Rhinolophus ferrumequinum: one gene and its partner. The protein of the gene in region 1 interacts with the protein of each later gene in a biochemical or structural test. Links are inferred from orthologs where the notes say so. Each region holds a gene or a part of one and is shown on either strand. Other genes may lie near its edges.

What was found. The genes of interacting proteins can lie anywhere in the genome.
Region 2: the proteins of STK26 (region 1) and CAB39 are reported together in a solved structure, tested with the Homo sapiens proteins (2 studies listed by IntAct, with this or other methods). The link is inferred for Rhinolophus ferrumequinum from reciprocal best matches to the Homo sapiens genes STK26 and CAB39.

What each region holds. Positions count from the first base shown.
Region 1 is NC_046284.1:23,857,775-23,868,564, forward strand, and holds the start of STK26 (serine/threonine-protein kinase 26), read right to left. Parts: upstream 4,899-10,790; 5' UTR 4,744-4,898; intron 4,644-4,743; 5' UTR 4,535-4,643; coding exon 4,493-4,534; intron 1-4,492. UniProt on the Homo sapiens protein: Serine/threonine-protein kinase that acts as a mediator of cell growth. Modulates apoptosis. In association with STK24 negatively regulates Golgi reorientation in polarized cell migration upon RHO activation.
Region 2 is NC_046291.1:7,495,894-7,506,177, forward strand, and holds the start of CAB39 (calcium-binding protein 39), read right to left. Parts: upstream 3,933-10,284; 5' UTR 3,568-3,932; intron 1-3,567. UniProt on the Homo sapiens protein: Component of a complex that binds and activates STK11/LKB1. In the complex, required to stabilize the interaction between CAB39/MO25 (CAB39/MO25alpha or CAB39L/MO25beta) and STK11/LKB1.

The DNA of each region.
Region 1 (10,790 bases):
TCTCTCTGGTATTACAACCCTCTCCCTCCTTGGTTGCTCCTATCCTTCAGTTTCAAGTAAACAGACTAGCATATAGGTAGTAAATGCTCAGTAAATGTCTGATGATTGATTGAAGCTCCAGATCTATATTTTCCAGTATTTGCTGGAATTTTTTTTTTTTAAAAAGTTTTATTGAGACATATTGATGTACAAAAAATGTACATATTTAATGTATACAATTTGATGAATTTGGGCATATACATACACCTATGAACTCATCACCACAATTAAGGTAATAGACATATTGTTCTACATTTTCACTTTGTCGTCCCATTGTTACCTCAAACCTCACAAGTCTAGAACAGAAATCATTAACTTCCCACTAGACCTGGCTCTTCTCTCTGACTTTCCAGTTCTTTTGGATGTACCATAAACCTCCCAGTTCCCCATATTCAACACCACAAAGGCTTGGATTCCTCCATCTGTAGTTATAACTAGCTAATTATTAAGTCTGGTAATTATATTTTTTATCTTCACAGCACTAGGCATTTGGAAGGCAGTCAGTTAATGCAAGGCCCATTGCATCTGCACATATTTGATTGTCCCACTGGAATAGCCTCAGTAGATCAAATCGCCTCAAATCTCTTCATTTTCCCATTCATCCATTCATCCGATCTTAAGATTTACCTTCCTGTATTTAACTTTGTTCACTGAGTCTCCCTTCTCAGAAATGTTTAGTGCAAAGGCCAAAATCCTTCCTAGCATTCAAGACCACCATAATCTGAACCCAATCTAGTTTTTCAATCTTATCTCTTATTATTTCTCTAGAGGAATTCTGTATCATACATAGTCCAAGTGATTTTAATCCCACTCTCAGATTGTGTGTGCACACACAAATTGCGAATGTACTCTTCCCTGTCTCCATGCCTTTGCTCAGGATATTTCCCTGCTTGGAAATGCTCTTCCCAAAATGATTCCTAACAACCCTCTGGGGTCAGTTTACTTTCTGTAAGCCTTCATCTCTTCCAGTCAGAAATTCTATTATAGAGTAAGTATCACAGATTTTGCATATTTGATATTTCATGTGCTAGACTTAACCTCCCAACATTTTAAGTTCTTGAAGAGCAGAGGTCACATAGTATATTTCTGTATTCTTCCCAAAACCCAATAACTAAATTTACCAGTGCAAGGCAATGTTTTCTACCTCTTAGATAAAAGTCTTCAATAAAGTGTTCACTAATTTTTAAATTTAATTTCTATCTCACACGTCAAATAATAACCATTTAAAAATTGTACCAAGTTTATCATATTTAAAGATACATGAAGGCTAATTTTTAAATTCTTTATCAGGAACTTTAAAAAAAATTATATTTTTAGATCGTATTATATTTTAATATTATTATATACAATAGGCATAACATAATAACACTTAGTACTCTAATTCAACATTTAACTGAACATTGATGTTTCTACCTACATTTTACGAAAGACTTAACAACCAATTTAGAATACTTGTCTTCATAAATACTAATGTGGTTCTAAGGGGAAATATCTTAAACAAGTGTGATTTATAACTGAAAACTTCAAAGGAAAAAAAACATGTTTTAAATCAATAAAGAGTAAATATTTGAGTGGAAAGGAACAAGTTTATTGGTTAATTTTTTTAAAGTTGTGCTTTAAAATTTTTTTTGAGAGTTTAGCTCCTGGTATGGAAAATTCTTTTAGTTATACACTAAAGAAGTAAGCACAGATTAAGTACAAAAAAATTCATATCCTCAACATTTGGTGTAATATGGCAAAAATGTTCATTACCATGATATTAAGAAATATCAACAATGAGTTTGAATAACTAATTCATAAGGAGGAGTTTGAACTGGACCAAATCCTGGGTTTTCTTTCATCACTCCAAGTTTCTTTTCTATTTTAAACTAGTGGCAACAGAAATTTCTTTGTTTGAAAGTCAGGAATGCTGGAAGTCTTAAGTGATAGAACAGGTAGCTCAGCTTTTACTTCATGTCTTTCCTGGGGGGGAGGGGAAGGGAGGAAAACACTGTGGATAATTTTGTTTTTATTTCTGGAAAAATCATTTTTCCATCAATCTTGATAATTCTCTAAAATAAACTGTTAAAAAGTTACAGGCCAGTCAATCACTTCACCATGATTTGTAGAAATACTATACATTAATTTCAAGAACACATGGCTAACTCAAGTTTTCTTACTACTCTAAAGGTCTAAAAAAAGGTGCTCTTAACTCTTTAACAAAATTTTAGGAAAATTTCACAAGGTCATGATGTATTTCTGCATCTCAAATGCAATATTTTTGAACAAAATAGTAAAAGAAATCTAGGCTCAAGAGTCACACTGTATGCCATCAAATTTATTTTTAGGGTACTGTACAATTTTAACTGTGGAAAACGTTTTGTGTTGCACCAAATGCTTAAGAACCACATCTATAAAGAAAATGGAAATGAGAAGTTAAGAATTTACCATTTTCATTAAGATGAAAAAAGTCTCTTCGCTAATATTGAGATGACTGCCTCTTCCAAATTAAGGTTGGACAAAATAATCACAACTTTGGGTAGGCATAAAGTGAAAGGCAGAGTTTGTCATTTAAAATACGTGATTCACATTCTAAACCACCTTAATTAACATTTAAAAATTCAAGAGATAGGAACTCAGATAATTCAACAAAGCTGGGAGCAATAAGAAACACTTAACAGCAAGCATTTCCTAAACCATATAAATCAAATAAGGACTAGAAACTATATAAATCAAATAAAGTCAAGACAAATGAAATAAAGACCAGAAACTATTTTCTCTTTAGCTCACAGTTTTTCAGAATCACAAACTTGAAGGGCAGGCACTCACTCTGCTAACGTACACAATGGAGAGAAAAGCCTGGAAACCCTCAAAGACAAATGTTACATCTGTACATCTCCACATAATGGGAAGGAGGGTTCAGTGGGAAATTTTTCGCACTTTCCTCCACATCAGACAGAGCAAAACCATAGTTAGTATTGCAAGCTTCTAATTCCCATGATACAATCAAAGACAGAACCAAATGAATGGGGTGTGGGCCAGGCTGGATGGGGGAAAGAGGGAGGGAAGGGGGTGGCCTGAGAAGAAAGTTTGAGGCATTTTGTAAAGCTTGAGTGGATTAACCTTTTTAAAAGCCTTAATATTTCTCATTACCCTTTTTCTCCCTGTTTGTTTGTTTGTTTATTTATTTATTTATTTATTTATTTATTTATTTATTTATTTTTATTAAATACACACCAACTTCCTGGGACTCGACACAGACGATATTCAGTTAAAAGGCCTGGTGCTTAGGATACACAAGAGTCTTTGGTTAGGTATGTGTCAGACACAGATGGTCCTTTTTGGGGGAAGTATCTTAAAAATCACTCTTTTGTGATCATGCATAAAATGTGACCAATTGCTTTTTAAAAAAAATGAATTCCATGCATCAATTAGGAAATTGAGGCCCCCATCCACAGCTCTTTGATTGATACTAAAACATAAGCTATTTACTAAACATTTTTGTCTGAACTTGAGAAAAGTTTGCTTTCACATTTTTAGAACATAATAAGGAAGTGAGGCTTTAGTGTGTCTAGTCTCTGAGTTATTCATAAATGGGTTGCTTAGGCTATCTTGCAAAGGAAAAAAAAATGTGAATGCTTAAAAGTTAGTAGACTTGGGTAACATTTAGTAGATAGCTTTAAATGCACCAATTTAAAACCATAACAGCATATAAAGTATGAAAATAGCTTATTTCTTCTTTAATAAAATGAAAATATAACGGGGAGGGGGACTGGGTAGATCTTCAGCAAGAAGTTGGGTCCCATGCAGCAGTCCCCAGTCCAGGACAAAAAGCTTCCCTTAACAACATGCAACAGTCATTTTGTGGGAAAGGCTGGGGAAGGGGCTGGAGAGTCATCTCCTAGGCGATTCTGATATGGGACCCAACATTTCTCATGCTGCCCTATGGGTTGGGCCAGGTGGGGTAGGGAGATATAACTTCGCCCTTAAGAAGCAGCACCAAAAGGGGAAAAGAAGTCACTTCGCTCTATGCACACAGGAAGAGACCGATTTAATGCCGCCGCCACCGACATCCCCTTGTCTTGCTCCGCTCCAACTTGTGTTTGGCAGGGGGCACAAATTGCATTTTACCCGATAAATTCCGAGACACCTCCATCTCTCCCAAGTCTTCCCGCCTCCAATCCTCAAGGGTACCACGCTCAGCAGGCGCAGGTGTCTCGCTCTGGCCTATTTTTATAACGCCCCCACCCCATCCTCACCTCGTTGCGCGCCCCAATCCCTCCCCTCCTTCCCAACGTAGTGCATAGCCTCAACGCCAGGAAACACTTAGAGCCCAATTCCCAGGTCACCTGGCCAGAGCGCCCGGCCCTGCCTTCGGGGGAGCCCTGAGGCCGCCTCTCGGTGCCCAGTGAGGAGTGCGTACGGGGCTCTGGGGTAGTCACATGGGCGGCGGGGCAGGCCTGGGCTTCCTCACCTGCATCCCGGGCACTTGGACCGCCACCGGTGAGTGGGCCATGAAGGCGACGGCTGCTCCGCACTGCTTCTGCGGCGGTGGCGCCTTGGGCTGGGACTGGCTCCTTCTCCGGGGGTATTTCGGCGGCCCTCCCAGGCTTTTCGACCCGGGCCTGGAAGGACACACAGAAGTGGGGTTACTGGGCTAGTGGCGCGTAGCCCGGGACTGCGAAGTCGGCAGTTCGCGGGGCTACTCCCTGGGACTCAGTCTACCTTTCTGGCGCCCGTCGGCCGCTGTTGCCGCCACCTCCTCTGCTGCTCCTCCTCCTGAATGCGGGGCGCTGTATGTGGCGGTGGCTGAGACCTGGGCTCGAGTGATGCCGCTCGTCTGCGCCTAGCCGCTTTAGGAAGAGGAGGTGGAGGCGCCTCAGCAACCCGCCCGCTCGCCTGGCGGGGGAGGCGGTTGGGGGCGGTTCCTCCGTTGGCCCTGCCCCCGCCCCACAGTCGGGCGGTGTCAGGAGAGCTAAGGTTCCGAGTGAAGAGGTTTGCCTGGGGTTGCTGGAGCCTGAGAAGGGAAGACTCTCCCCGCACGCGGAGAGGAGAACCCGGGGCCTGGGGGACCTGGAACACGGCTCGGCCTGGAGAGATAATGGAAAAGTTTGGGTGACCTGGGGTTATGAGGGCGTCCTAGACGCGGCCACGTTGCAGGCAGGCGTACGAGGCTGGGGCACACGCAGCCTCGTAGACTTCTTGAGTTAAAACTTGGAGAGTGTTGGAAGTCCTTCTTGGCTTCCCAATCTGATCGAGGGTGGGGCACAGAGGGGCACAGAGAGCCACCGAGTCGGTGGACTCCTGCCCATTACTGCGGTGGGGGTCTCCCCAGCCTGAGGCCGTGCCACCGGGCAGATCCGTAGCCACTCTGATGCTTTCGGGATCTCTCGCCCCCAGACATGCTTCAGGTGACCTGAATCTGAGGCTACACCTACCTCTTGGGCTATCCTTTGGTGGGGGGTGGCCAGACTGGGGCTTCTGTTTATCACAAGTTCTGCACGTTTAATAGAGAGGGAAGTTGGAGAACAGATGGTACGTCCGCAGAAAAATTAATGAGGATGAACATCAGTACGGTAGCAGTGCATATTATTGAACTCAGCATACACAGCAGTGGTTCCAGCAAATCCTTGCCTCCACCCCATTTCATGTTCCACTCCAGGAGGGAGACAAGGTCTTTTGAGAGTACCCTAATAACATTAACAATGGTAATAGCAATTTCAAGAATCTCATTATGAAGGGACCTCTGGGAACCCACAAGGGGTCAATTACATTTTAAAAATGTAATATCTGAGTGCCAATTCAAAATGAGGATGAAGTTCCCTACCTTGCAGGTTGTTATAGGTCTGTACACAACACAGTATTGGGGCCACTCAATAGACACTCAATTAATATATTTTTGTTGTTGTTCCTTTTGAACCTTTTAAAGATAGCATACTATTGTCAATATCATTATTATTCATGGATGCCATTTTCTTTGTGCCAGGGACAATGTGTTACCTAATTGAATCTTTACAAGGGAGGTCATATTGCTTTCTCCCCATTTTACAGATGAAGAAAAAGTTGAGCTTAAATAATTTGACACAAAATATCGCACAATTAAGAAGTAGAGCTGGAAATTCAAACCCAAGTATCTCTAACTTTTAAGATCTACTCTGTTAGCAACTTTCAAGTACACAAAACAACATTGTTATCTATAGTTACCATGTTGTACATTAGGTCCCCAGAACATATTCATTTATAACTGGAAGTTTGTGCCCTTTGATCACCTTCACCAATTTCCCCCATCCCCTGCCCCTTGCAACTACCAATCTACTCTCTGTTTCCATAAGTTTGGTATTTTTTAGATTCCACATATAAGTGAGATCATACAGTATTTGTCTTTCTCAATCTGACTTATCTCACTTAGTATAATGCCCTCAAGGTCCATCCATGTTGTTGCAAATGGCAGGATTCCCATCGTTTTTATGGCTGAATAATATTCCAGATCATGTATCTACACCACATTTTCTTATCTATTCAGATGATGGAGGATATAATTGCATTTCCCTTACTCCTGGTTTCCCAATTCCAGGCCCTTATTACTTCTAACATGATGAGAGGCCCCAATCCAATCTCTAGCTCCCACTCACCCAGCTCACACTCAACAATGCCAGCCTGACCAAAAACCTGCAGAGCCACCTAAACTTTAATGTCCATAGAAATTCCCTGGGATTCTTTTGAAAGTGCCAATTTTGATTTAGCAACTCTAGAGTGAGCACAAGATTCTGCATTGCGAACAATTTCACAGGTGATGGCACTACTGCTGATTCTTAGAACACACTTTGAATACCAAGGGTTTGAATCAAGCTCCATCATTTGAGGCTCATCTCAAATCTCACCCCCATTGAGCCATCCTCCTTGCTCTAATCCCCCTTTCAGAGGCTCATCTCAAATCTCACCCCCATTGAGCCATCCTCCTTGCTCTAATCCCCCTTTCAAACTTCTTTTGCATGTCGATGGAAGCCACAGTCACATTGTGGTTTTGTTCTTATTTCATTTGTTTAGTCTGCCCAACAAGATTGTTAGGTCCTAGAGGCCAGAGATCCACCTTCTCTTACATAAGAATTATTCAGGTAGGATGGCAACTGTCAGTGGGCAAAATTCTTGTCTGTTTTGTTCATTGCTGTATCCTCAGAGGCTAGGAGAGTGTGTGGCACATAGTAAGCCCTCAATAGAGATTTGTTAAATGAATAAATGAATAGATGTATTTCCTTTGAATTCTTCACTGAGATTAGTATAGTGATAGGTGGGTGCATTATTGGTATACTGTGTGTTTTATTGATGCCTGGTTAAACTCCTACGTACTGCTCTTGCTGAACCTTTAAATCATTCACTTTAGTATATGTGACACCATTCTTTTTTTTTTTTTTTTTGGTCTCCAAAATTCTTTCCAGTTACTTTAATTTCACAACTACATAAGAGCAAGTTGTGTAATTTTAATAGATAAGTAAATTAAGCATATCTGAGAAGTGACTTTCCCTGACATCATTCTGGGCCAGAGTTATGTAAGAATGTAGTAGTCTAAATGCTAACTTTTGAGACCTGAACAATTGAGACGTTTCCTTAGAAACACTGCTATTGAGATCTTAGTAAACTTTTTGACCTTTATTTAGGACTACTTCTATTAAATAAACTATCTGTTATTATTATTTATAGAGATCACTTGAGTTTTTACGTGGAGTTCCTTGTGGTTTGCTTATGCTTTTTCATATATATATATATATATATATATATGCATATATATATATATATATCTTAATATAAATAAAATAAGAAATTCAAGTGTGCTTTTTTCACTCTCCCCAGAAAAGGACACTTGAATATTTTACTTCAAAATATCATCCCAGAGTCTAATACTATATTACAATGTATTCCCATAGCTTGATGGAAAAAGTTCCATGAGGAGAGACACCACATATTATGCTCTTTGGTAACCCCATGGAATGTAACATAGTGCCTCAAATCAGATTTTGTACCTGCTTAATTGGTGTGACCTGAGTGCTATGAACACTTAATAACCATATAAATAAAATAAGATTGTATACAGATTAATTGAAGTCAGTGAACTCCAAATTAGACAGTGTCCTTGAACCCAACAAAACTTAATTTAAATTTATAATCTGTGATTTCAATTTCCAACATTTGTCATACCGTCAATATTAAACATTTAATTTTACCCATGTTTGTAAATATTTATTGAATGGACTGATTCACAGCTAAAATGTAGGTAGACAGAAATGGCCAGACAAACCTCAATGTAGACAGTAATGCATTAGGGCCGTGGTTCTCAACCAGGGGTAATTTTGCCTTCTGGAGACATTATTGGTTGTCACAAATGGGGAGGAAAGGGCGTTACTGGTAGTGGGTAGAGGCCACGGGTGCTAAGCATCCTCCCATGCACAGGACAGCTGTCACAACAAAGGATTACCCAGCCCAAATTGTCAATGGTGCCAAGGTTTGAAAAACCATGCTCTACACTCTTTGCATTAGGGATTACTAACCAAGAAACCGACTTGGGAATCACTGTTCCCTGAAGATTTCAGTTCAATGTAGTGGCTTCCCCACCTCCCCCCAAAAATCCCCACAAGATATTGGGCCACATCGAAGGGTTACTGGAAATGAAAGAGTATTTTTATATTGCTTTTGTACTAAGTCATAGATCATCTGCCCCAAAGAGTGAATACTACTTAATGAAAAATAATATTGAAGAGAAAATAAGTTTAAGAAAATTTAATGGTTTGTTTACAAAAAAAAGTTTAATCATGGAGCATGTTCTAATGTACCAGGCATTACATAGGAGCCTTCAAATGTGTACCTCGTGAGATAAATTTTACTTTTTATTCCACTTCACAAAATTTAAAGGTAGGGTTTCACATTTTGTACTTTCATATTTTGAGGCTAAAAACCACATTGAAATGTATAAACTATATAAATATATGAAATGTAAGGGCAAATTGATACAATTATCTGAATTTCTTTCAATTATCTGAATATTTAAAACTAAAGCAAATTATTTGTGTAGTTCTAGAAGCTCACCATCAATATTTTGATTCAAGCTACTGAACTCTCTACTGATATTTGGAAGTCCAACATTTAAGGGCCCCTTTTATCTTTTGTTTTATATAGAAGCATATGTGATACCTCAAATCTCTACTCTCTGTGAGTATCAAGTTGGAAACTGTGATATAATAGTTCTTGCAGATGTTGTATATTCGCTATTGTTCCAGCAAAGCATCCTAAGAGAAAAACCTATTGAATCAATTTTTGGTCAAGGAGCATTAAACCTATGTAATTGCTTCCCTGAGTAACCTTGCACCCTTTGGGGCTTACCCGATACTCTACCATAGTATCATTTATAACAAAACTAGTACCTAAGATTAAGCACAGCAAAATTTTCTCGCTAGCTGTACTTCCTGATGCTACTGACAGGAGTAGAGCAACAGAGGAGGTGGGCGGAAGCAGATGCTGCTTAGGTGGTTTCCTGCTTATAACATTTCTTTACACATATGCTTACTCACTTTGAAATATTTGCATTTAGCGACCAAAAGAATTGAGCTTGTAACTTCTTGACTTCACCAACTGATTCAGAACTGAAAAAACTAAATGTGGCCAGGATAATTTCATTCAGAGGTAGGAGTCAAAAGATGGAATGTTAAGAGATATCTTCCTTGGTTTCAGTTTTGCAGACTGCCTAAACTCTCACAGAATTGCACTGTTGATTTTCAGATGCCTTGGGCTGGAGGTGAAAGCCCTCAGAAGCCTGCATGTGCTCACTCACAGTCACTTCAGTGGTCACAAAACCACTGCTTGCTGCACAAATCATCCTATAATGGTTGTTTTCTGTTGCCATAGGAGGACATAAAGAGACTGGGGAGTTTCTTAGGACAGATTCTTTGGGAGACTGGGCTCTTTGTAATGAAGTCAGGTAACTTCTTTGTGCTCTCCAGTGTGCTGTTTTTAGTTACAGGAGAGCCTTTCATGTGTTACCACGAAATGATGCTAAATAACCAATGTGGGTGATATTTTTCCCTCTGAATTAACTTTTTAACATTTCTTGAATTGACCACTTGTTCTTTAATTTGTAGGCTTCTCAAGAAAACAGTTCTAGTCAAAGGTGGCAGTTGAAAACAGGAAAAAAACTGGCAGTTGAGACCAAATAGGAAGTGACTATGCCATCAGCTCACACTAAGGAAAAGGAAGTTGTTGCCAGGACCTCTAAGAAAGGCAGTTGTGTAAAATTACCACTTTTCATCTTGCTTGCTGAGGTTCTGTCACCCTGTGGTAAAAAACTCATAGTTTTGCTACTGCTGTACTCAAGAGAACATGAAAAGAGCAGGGGAATAACAGGCACCCCTTGCAGTACTGTTATCAGACACTACCAGACGTTTCTGGGGCAGAAACTCAACATTGTAGACAAGCAAAGCTTCTATCCTACTCATTTTTCTTCCTGTGCCAAATCGATATTTTAAGATTAGTTAAAATTCAGTACCATGACACCCACTACAAGGGTCCAACTATGGAGTGTAGTGGTATTTTTGCTCAGAAATAGAAGACAAAATGTCTTTTTATACTTTCGCTTAGGCTCCAGAGCCAGCCTGATCCGCACCACCTTTACCTTTTTCTTTTCTTTTCTCCTCCCTTCTTTTCTTTCAAACATGTTTCTTTAGTAAAGTGCCAGGAACTCTGCTGAGGGCTTGGAATTCAAACAAACATAAGGAGCTTGCTTTTTC
Region 2 (10,284 bases), on another chromosome or scaffold:
TCCTTCAGGAACTCCTCCTCACAATCCTGGGAAGCCCCGAGAAACAGAAGCAGAACACACATTTTGGCATTTACTCCGACTAGTCTCTTCTACAAATGCTGGTGGTAGTAGAAATACTTGTCTCACCTTGCTCCACCCCCATACTCTGACTGATAAAGGTAGTGACTCGGGTCCAGCTGAACAGTCATTAAAGTGGTGAGACACACAGAGGAAGAACTCTCACATAGTAGAGTAGCTCCATTCCTTCTTTAATTAAGGATGGCTCCAATACCAGCCTTCTCTCCAATAAAAAAACAAAATATAGACTGATGACTAAATTGTTACGCAACTTTTAGGCTGCGTGGTTTGATATGCATTCACACGAATACAAGATCTTTACACTTCAATAATTAAACAACAAAACAAGTCACAAGCAATCTAACCCAGAGGTTCCGAGATCTGATCGTCTTCCTCATAATCTTACCACTCCAAAAAGTTTTATCAACATTTTGCCATTTTCCATATTAATCCACCTATGACACTCCTATTTCTGTAACAGCAGACAACATTCATAGAATCAAATTCCTAATTAAAAGAAGCCATGGAAAACAAAATGGATTTTTAAAATAAAAACACCACCAGAAAGGTAACCAGAATATACTACCTAAAATGAAGTTCTACCATATAATATTGGATTTTATTTTTGCGTGCTGTTGGAATCAGGTGGGGGACAATTTGGATTTGTGTCTGTATTTTTATGGAAGATGGTAAAACTGAATTATCAGTGATCAACCCCTCCTTGAAAAAAGGCTCTTGGGAAGTACAGTAGTAATTACAGAAATCTATAACCTACAAAAATTGATCAAAAGAAAAAACTTTAGTAAATATTCAAAATAAACATTTGTAATATACAAATAAAGATTAAAATAAAACCAAATTATAAAACCAAACCCCATTCTTAAACTGGACTTTCTCAGCTATTCTTTTATGTTGACTTTATGAAAATTTATAGTTTAGCTCAGCATCTCATTTTATATGCCATTAGAAACAGGAAGAGACCTCATTAATATATTTTAGAATGTAAAGCACAAGGGGAAAAACTGGTTTAAAGAACCTGCAGTCTGAAATGAAATAAAGTGAAGTGCCTTGAAATAAAAAAACCAAAGTCCCTTTTGTTACAGCAGCAAATTATTTCTAGCAGCAAAATTATTTCATGACAAATTCTATATTTACTAGAGAAATGCCAATAGAAAACTACATGCATTTAGCCTGAATCTTTGTAATGTCATAATCAAAAGTAGTAGCCTATGTGGACAGCCCTCATTCAAAGAATACTTTGGGGGGTGGGGCATGGGGAGGTAGGAATGGAGGTGCATTAGTGTATGGGAGATATACCAGCTACGAAAGTAATCCTTTTTAATGCCTTTTAGAAAAGTACATCCACTCATATAGCAGAGATGTGTCAGACCTCTTTCCTACCTGCTGGCAAGATGCAGCCCAAGTAATAAACAAGCAATAGAATCTAAATTGTACAAAGAAGTGAATAACTATACTTCAAACAAGAAGTCTTTAGGAAAAACTGTCCACAGGAGCAGTTATTAAGCATGACTACTACATTTTATCTGACATAAATAATACAACCTTGTCAGAAAAAAAATTTAAGACTTCCCTTACTTGGGGGAAAATATTTTTATACGAAGATATTTAATGACAAAAATGCTTAATAAGAGTTATATGTAGTTTAGTTCATTATGTAAAGAAAAAATATAACGCTGAAAAGGAAATATGCAAAAATGTTAACAGTAACCAAATATAAGTGGTAAGATTACAGAAGATAATTTTTAAAAATTTTCCAGTACTTCCTGCATTTTACAACTGCTTTTTTTAAAACTCAAAACAATTGACATTCATTTATCATATAAGCAAACAAAGAAGTAAGTGCTTACAAAACCAACACAGGTTCTAAGCTGCTTCCACAGATCGTATGTTTAGGACTTCAAATACAGCTGCCAATTACTTCCTAGTAATTTCTTAAATGTACAAAATAAAACTAAAGACTTTTGCTCCTGGTTCTCCTATAACGATTTTCATTACTAAAAATTAATTTAAAAAAATGAACCTTTCCATAAAAAGGTTCTATGTCACTTTCTATCTCAGAATATTAGTAACAATTTGATTTTGAAAATCATCAATTTAGATTGCTTTACATAAATGCCATCTCAAAGAGGTAAATTATGTTCAGCTGAGTAATTCCAAAGTTTAGACACCTAACACACAGTGCAAGAAGTTTTGATGCAGTTTAGTGAACTGCACCAACAGAAATGCCTTATGTGCAGACGAGCTTATTTTAAACACATCTTTCCATTACCTCCAAGAGCCTGACATCTAAGGAAGCTTTTTGCAAAAGGTTCTTTGCTTGGCCTGGACATGGATTCATTTGAATATCCCGGAAGCTGTCAAAATCGATCTCAAACTGCATTATATTCAAGACACAGAATGTCAACTCTGTACTGGGCCTCCTCCTCTCCTTTCTTTCACAGCAGCGCCTTCAATATCCCGACTAGCTTACATTTCCGGGCTCATGAGTCACTGAGAAATGAGTTCTAGGTTTCCCTTAAACAGCTCCTTTCTAGCATTCAAGGATCTGGCCCCCAAATACCTCTTCAGCCCACCCCCACTTCCCACCATGGGCCTAAGCAACAAACTGAGTTATCCACTATTTCTAGCCTATGCCTTTTTACCTTTGTCCTCTAGCTCTGCTGCCCCTCCACATACCGTCTCTTCTGCAGCCCTCCTCTCACAAATCCTTTCGAGTCTTCAAAACCGCCTTAGGCACCGCCTCGCCCAGGAAGCCTTCCAGATTTCTGCTAAGCGGAAGTGATCGATCAATCGGTCCAGTCTTCCCTGGGTTCCTTTCTAGCACCTTGTAGTTCTTTCACTGGACTTATCGTCTCCTTCCAGGTATCGTGTTATCTGTGTACTAGTCTTATCTCCCATACCAGAGCTTAAACTCCTTGGGGGAGGCGACCGCGGCCCCGGGTTCACCTTTGAATCCCTCCGGTGCGGACCGACCACGGCGCCTGCACGCAGTCAGCGCTCAGGCTGTTTCAACCGAACTCGGGAACGCTCTGGCCGCACAATTCCTAACCAGAAATCAGTTAGGCATTTTCCCGAAAGGGACATCACAGAGATGCTACCTGCCTCCAGATAACAGAAAGTTTACCAGGGGCCAGGAGCGAGGTGGCCGGAGCCCGTGTGCGGTGGGAGTGACAGCTGAGCCGGCCCGCACTTCTTTGCCCTCCGTACTCCGGCCGGGGACGCCCCGAGCCGCCAGCCCCGCCGGAGAACGGCAGAGGGGTGGCAGGAGAGCCCGGGGCTCCCAGACCCCGGCCGCAGGCCCCCGGGCGCCGCGCGGGCGAGAGCAAAAGGGCAAGCCTCCGCGAGGGGCCTGAGCTGGCCCGGGTCGGGCCGCCGCGGCCACCCGAGAAAATGGAGGCAGCCCCGGGGCCGGTGACGGGCCGGGGCAGGGCAGGCGGAAGCCGGGCCGGCGTCCGCGCCGCGAGCTGGGCAGGGCCGGGGGTCACTCACGGGGCTGGGCCGAGCGGCTCCCTCTCCGCCTCCGCGTCGTCGCCGTCCCCGTCCTCGGCCGCCGCCGCGTCGGGCTGCTCGCTGGGTCCCCGCGGCGCGGCTCCGGTGCTCGGCCCCTCCGTTGTCTTCCGCCTGCTTCGACTCCCGGCGACGGGCTCCCGCGGCGGCGGCGGCGGCTGCGCGGGCGGACGGCGGCCCAAAGGCTCCCGCGGCGGCCGCCGCACTGCTGCGCTCGATCGCCCGGGTTGCGGCTGCGGCTGCGGCTGCGGCTGCTGCAGGACCCGGCGCCGCCTTTGCCTTCGCCTACCCCCGGTTCCCCGACTCTCGGTCTCTCCCAGGCCGCGCCGCTCCCCGCTCCCGGCCCGAGCCCGGCTTTGACGTGCGCACTGCGCAGCCTCCCAGGGCGCGACGTCGGGCGGCGCCGCAACGCCCCCTTTGGCCTCGGGCGCCCCCGGGCGTCCGGGAGGACTCAGGGCGCCGGTGTGCGCGCGGAGGACGAAAAGGGAGGGGACACAGAAAAGCAGAAGCCGAGGAGAGGAGTTCCTTTTCTTTCATCTGCCACTTAAATGTGGGTGCTCAGCCCCCTTCTAGTCTGTCTAAGCACGCTTCCTGGAGGAATCTCACGTCCATTTTCTACGACCACTTCCTCAACTCTTAACAAAGCTTTATTTCTGCTCAAGACGAAGGGCCAACTTTGTGTAGACCCAATCTGTCATACTTGCGTGGGACAGATCATTCTCATTTTAGCATCCTCTGAGAGAGAGCGTGGAAAGTGATGGAATGATCCAGATTAATAGCATTCAACAGCGGATTTAAACCCCAGCTCCACTCATTTAGTCCCCACGGGCCGTTTCCTGTCCCTATACCTGGGTTTCTTCACATCAACGCGCGCACAAAAGTGTAATACAGGACCATAGGCTTATGAGGACGAGCGAGAAAATGAATTCCAAAGCCCAGAGAGCAGAGCAGAATCTGGTACATAAAAATATCATCCATGTGTATTTTTGTTTCTGTTGCTTTGTTTGTTTTTAATTTGTAATTGAACAGGTATTTTCGAGCATCTACTGTGTGTCAGGCACTATTTTAAGGGGTAGGGCAGTGAACAACACAGTCCATGCTCCCGAGACAAACAATAAACAAATAAACCAGCACAAGCATGACCTTGGATGGTTTTCAGTGCTATGGAGAAAAACAACATAGGCCAAGGAGGGGAGAGAGGGCAGGGTATGACTATTTATAGCTCTCCTACAGGGAACAGCTACATGAAGAGCATGAGGTGAACTATGTGGGATGCTTGGGATGGCAGAGGGAACAGCAAGGACCACCGCTGGGAGCTGGGAGCCCAGGAGCCCGGCAAGGCCAGACTCCTGAGGGAGGGAAGAGGGCAGAAACAGTAGAGGGTGGAAACCCTACAGACTGAAAGGAGAACTTGGGTTTTTAGTCTGAATGAGATGAGAAGCTATTTGAAGAGTGTTGAGCAGAGAAAGGATGTGGTCTGACATTTCAAAAGGATCGCTCTGGTTGTGTGAAGACCAGCCTGAAGGATGTCAGGGTGTCAGCCATCCTGTTAGAAAGCTTTTGAAATAATCCAGTGCACAGAAGACAGGTCCAGCATGGTAGCTGGGAGGGGTAAGGAAGTGGTTGGGTTCTAGACACTTTTAAAAGGTAGAGCTGACAGGATTTTGCTGATTTCTAAGGGTTTTTTTGTTTGTTTGTTTGTTTGTTTGTTTTTCTCAAGCAACTGGAAGATACAATTTGGTGAAATGGGGACGACTTAAAGAGAAGCAGATGTGAAGGGAGGAACTCTGGAATATATTTGGGGGCATATTAATTCTGAACTACTTGCTAGACATCCAAGACATCCAAGTAGGAAGCTGGATATAGAAGTCAGGGTATGGATGAGACGTCCATACCTGGAGAAAGAATTTTGGGAGTCCTCAGAGTAAGTAAAATCTCAACACTCAATGAAATCATTTAGGGAGTGAGTGTTAATAAAGGGCAAAGCCAAGGATGAGCCTGAGGTGCCAATGCTGAGGTCAGGGAGATGGCAAGGAACCAGCAAAGGATTCTGAGGAGAGGAGCTAGGGTGGCGGGAGGAGGAGACCCAGGAGACTGTATGTACTGGAAGACCAAGGGGTGGAGGACGGATCAATGCCACTGATTTTGACTAATAGTTGAAGTAAGGTTGGTGTTGGTGACTGGTCATTGATGGCAGTGTCATAGAGGTAACTAGTGGCCTTGGTAAGAGCTGTTTCAGCAGGGGTGGGTGGAAAAGCCTGATTGGAGTGGTCTTTGGAAAGAATGTGAGACCCAGAAAGATGTCTAGAAAGAATGGGGCTCTAGGAAGAGAGAGACTATGAGTATAAACAACTTTTCCATGAAGTTTTATTCTAAAGAGGAGGAAAGAAATTTGATGGTAGGTGAAGGAGAATATGGAGTCAAACAGATTTTTTTGTTGTTGTTTTATTTCTCTTTTTCATTTTCGCTTTTAGGATGGAAGCTATTACAGCTGGCTTAAGTGCTGATGGGAGTGATTCAAGTAGTGAGGGAAAATTTGATGGGAGGGGCCACATTTTCTGGAGAGCTGTCCTTGAGTGAGCAAGAAGAGAAGGTTGCAGGGAACAACAGAGGGTCTGGCCTTGACACCAGCAGGACGGCCTTCACTCACAGGGACAGAGGGCAGGCAGATTGTGGGCTCAGAGGCAGAGAGCCCGATGGACGAGGAGCTGGAACAGGTGTCTGTTCCCTTCTGAGGGTTTCTATTTTCTCAGGGAAATGGGAAGCAAGGTCATCAGCTCAGAGTGTGGAGGGGGAGGAGCTGTCGGAAATTTGAGGGAAGAGGAGAAGGTGTAAAGAAGGACCAGTCAACAGGGCTCACATTTTGTTGGGAAGGTGCAGGCGCAGGAAGGTGGGGAGCTGGATTCAACCAGGGCTATTTTTGTTAGGTAACTCCATGGAGCAAGAAAGGACAAAGGAAGGAGAGGGTATATGCAAGGAAGTAATAATAATAATGGCCAACTGTTGAATCCAAGCCAGACTGGAGGCCGTGAGGAAATGGGGGGCGGAGGTGGGGGCAGTGAAAGGGGAGAAACCCTGTAAAAGTGGTATGATGGGTGAAAGGATTGTTGGAACTAGCACAGTAAACAGAGTGAGCTAGGATGAAGGATCTGCTGGCTGGAGAGCCAGGCTGCTTATACTGAAATTAGGACAGGAGCAGTTTTCAGTAAATAACAAGGCTTGGGGCAGCTTCTCAAACTCTAATGTCGGTGTGCATTACCGGGGAGCATGTTGAAATGCAGACAGTGGTTTCATTGGTCTGGGGGAGGGGAGCCCGTTATTCTGCATTTCTAACAAGTTTGGAGATGAGGGTGGGAGGGTGCTGATTATTCTTCTTCTGGTTGTAGTCTTGATAGCAAAACCTCGATAAATGCGACCCCCAAAAAAAGAAAACTACAGCAATCTTGCTGGTGAATATATAGGGAAAACCAAAATAAAAAGTTTGAATATAAGTAAAATAGCAGCATTTTAAAGGTCAAGTCTGTCCCACCATGGACAATTTATCAAGCATATTAGAAGCTGTTAGAAGAGCCATAGCTGTCTAGTGTCTGTCTAGGCCCAGAGAGAAATCAGCTGACGAAAAGTCCTGAGCAAGCTGGTTCCCGAAAAGCAAAGACTCTTTAGTGACCGCGGAAGGGAGGTGCTGGGCCCTTTTGAGTGAGCAGACTACAACAAGTTTTATCTAATTTTGAAACTTTGTTCAGTAAGGACTTTAACCCCACAGCTTTTTTTTTTTTTTTAAGATGAGAGAGTTCTTTTTCATTGTAGTCCCAAAGGGAGACCTTTATTGTGCTGACATCCCACAAAAATAAGTCAAGACCCAATTTCCCACAGACTAAAAGAACGCATGGGGGTGGATAATCTCATATGCAAGGTTTTGATTCCTTTGCTATAAGGGTCTGAACTGGATTCCAGATGAATCTCTTAACTGGGATAAACCAGCCCATTATAGCTGAGAATTGTAGCAGCAAGACGGCAGACATTTCTGGAACAAATTCTGAAGCCAAAGCATAAGGACCCCTGTCATTTGACCACTTGAATTTACTCTGGGGAAGACACCGTTCTCCCTCCTTTCCCTGGGCTCTCTGGAAAGCCCATTCTATTCATATGTTACTTTGTAGGCACGACCTCTTTCTGAGAATTTCCTCCACCTCCTCTTCTTGAAACCCTCTCCACAGAGGCTCCTCACTTTCCCCTCCTGATCTCAAGGTCATAGGCAAGGTCATCATTTTCTGGAGTTAGTGTTGGTCCTGTGTAAATCTTCCATCACTCTCATTTCCCTTCCTCTCCTCCACTGAAGCTGGGCCACAGGATGAAGGCACCTCCCTGCCTCAATCACACCACCTGTGAAAGGACTTTAGCGCATGATTCACAGCTTCCTTCTCCACCCTACCCTGTGCCTGACTTCTCCTGGGCAACATAAGTGCCACTCGTCTAATATGTTGGGTCATAGTTCCCTCATATTCTCTGCCCCAGTGATCCTCACTTCCACTCCACGTCAACAAGCACTTGCTTAGCCCCACCCTGGTCTGTCAGTCACCACTACTGTACCTTTGAAGCTTGAACTCTAAAACTCTCCTGCTTAATTGCTCCTCCCACAGCTGTAAACCCACCAAACCTGCTCTAAAGCTCATTGCATCTTTGTTTATTCAACAAATACTTATTGAGAGCACATAATTACTGGGCACAAGCAGTCTGGCTGAGACATTGAACAGCACACAGTCCCTGCTCTCAATGAGCTTGCAGTCCAGGAGAGTCAACAGGCAATTACAGAAGAGTAAGACATGAAGCATGAGTAAGATTTAGCCAGTTGAAGATGGGAGTAAATGTTCAAGGAAAATCATGGCAATAGCGCCAAAAGCTGGAAAACACAGTGAATTTGAGTAGTTCAATCTATAGAGCTTAGAGCTGGAGCTTGAGGAGGGGAATTTTTTTTATTGCTAGTTCTCCCCACCTCCAGCTTTACTGAGCTATTATTGACATATAACATATGTACGTTTAAGGTGTACAATGTGAAGATTAGCAACATGTTTGTATTGGCAAATGATTACCGCAGTGAGGTTAGTTAGCACCTTCATATCCACACGTAATTACGATTTTGGGTGTATGTGTATGGTGATAATATTTAAGAGCTACTCTCTTACTAACATTCAAGTCTATAGTACAGTATTGTTGGTTATAGTCACCATGCTGTACATTAGATTCCTAGACCTTATTTATCTTCTAGCTGGGAGTTTGCACCCTTTGACTAGACATCTCCCCATTTCCCTCACCCGCAGCCCCTGGGAACCACCATTCTACTCTCTATTTCTATGAGTTCAGTTCTTTTATTTTTTATTTTATTTTCCTCCCTTCTTCTGCCTCCCCCCCAACTCCAGTTCAAGCTGTTGTTTCTCAGTCTAGTTGTGTAGGATAGGACACAGCTCCCTGGCCCACGCTGGTGTTCTGAGCCTTGTGCTGTCCCCCCCACCCCCATGAGGCAGTCGGTCGGCCGCTCACAGCAGCCCACAGTAGCTCTCGCCGGCTGCCGGCCACTCATGCTGGCCTCCGGCCACTCACGGTGGCACATCGGTGACCTTGGTGCTAGGAGCACTGCACTCCAATCACCTGAGCCACCAGACCAGCCTGAGTTCAGTTCTTTTAGATTCCGCATATAGGTGAGAACATCCAGTATTTGTCTTTCTCTGTCTGACTAATTTCACTTGGAAGAATGCCCTCAAGGTGTATTCATGTTGTTACAACATGGCAGGATTGAAGAGGGGAGTTGGCACCAGATAAGGTTGGAGAGATAAGCAAAGGTCCAATAATGAAAGCCACATCATCCATGTTAAGAACTGGGCTTCAACATGAAGGCAGTGCAGGTAGGTTGGGTGTGAAGTGGGCATTGAAACTTTAAGGCATGGAGTGACAAGCTCAGATGTGTACTTTAGATTTAGAAACACCATTCGGATCCTATGTGTGCAGTGGATGAAAGATGGCCAGCCAGATCAGAAGTAGTGAGACCAGTAGGAGGCTGTGTTCATTCTGGCAAGAGATAATGGGGCTAAACTAGGGTTGTGGCAGTGGGGTGGAGAAAAGTGAATCAGCTAAAAAAAAAAGAAATTTAGATCGCACTTGGTGATTTGTTGGCTATAGATTGCAGGGGAGAATGAGGACTATAGGAAGAAAACATGGGCAACTGGTTGGTCAGTAGGGCTAGTTAGTTAGATGGACCCCACCTAGAAGCAATAGGTAGAAAAGATGATAGGAAGAAAACCAGGAGAGGGTTATGTCCCATAGACACATTTCAAGAGAAAAAATAGCCAACAGTTTAATGCTGCAGTAGGATCAAGTAATACAAGGTTGGAAATTATGGTTGGATGTGGCAACAGGAGGATTTTAGTGACCTTGGAGAGAGTTGTACCTTTGGAGTGAGGGGGGGAGAGGCACTGGGATGTCAGAGGGTTTCAGGTGTGAATGGGAGATATGGGAATGGAAATAATGAACATAGGTTGCATTTTCAAGACAGGAGAGTGGAGAGGAAGGCCTGTTCAAGAGAGAGTCTAGAAGATAGCAGAGGCTTGAGCATGTTTAAACGCTGATGGGAAGGACAATTAAAGAAGTTGAAGATTGGAGCAGCTGGTTGGCTCAGTGGTTAGAGTGCAGTGCTCATAAAATCAA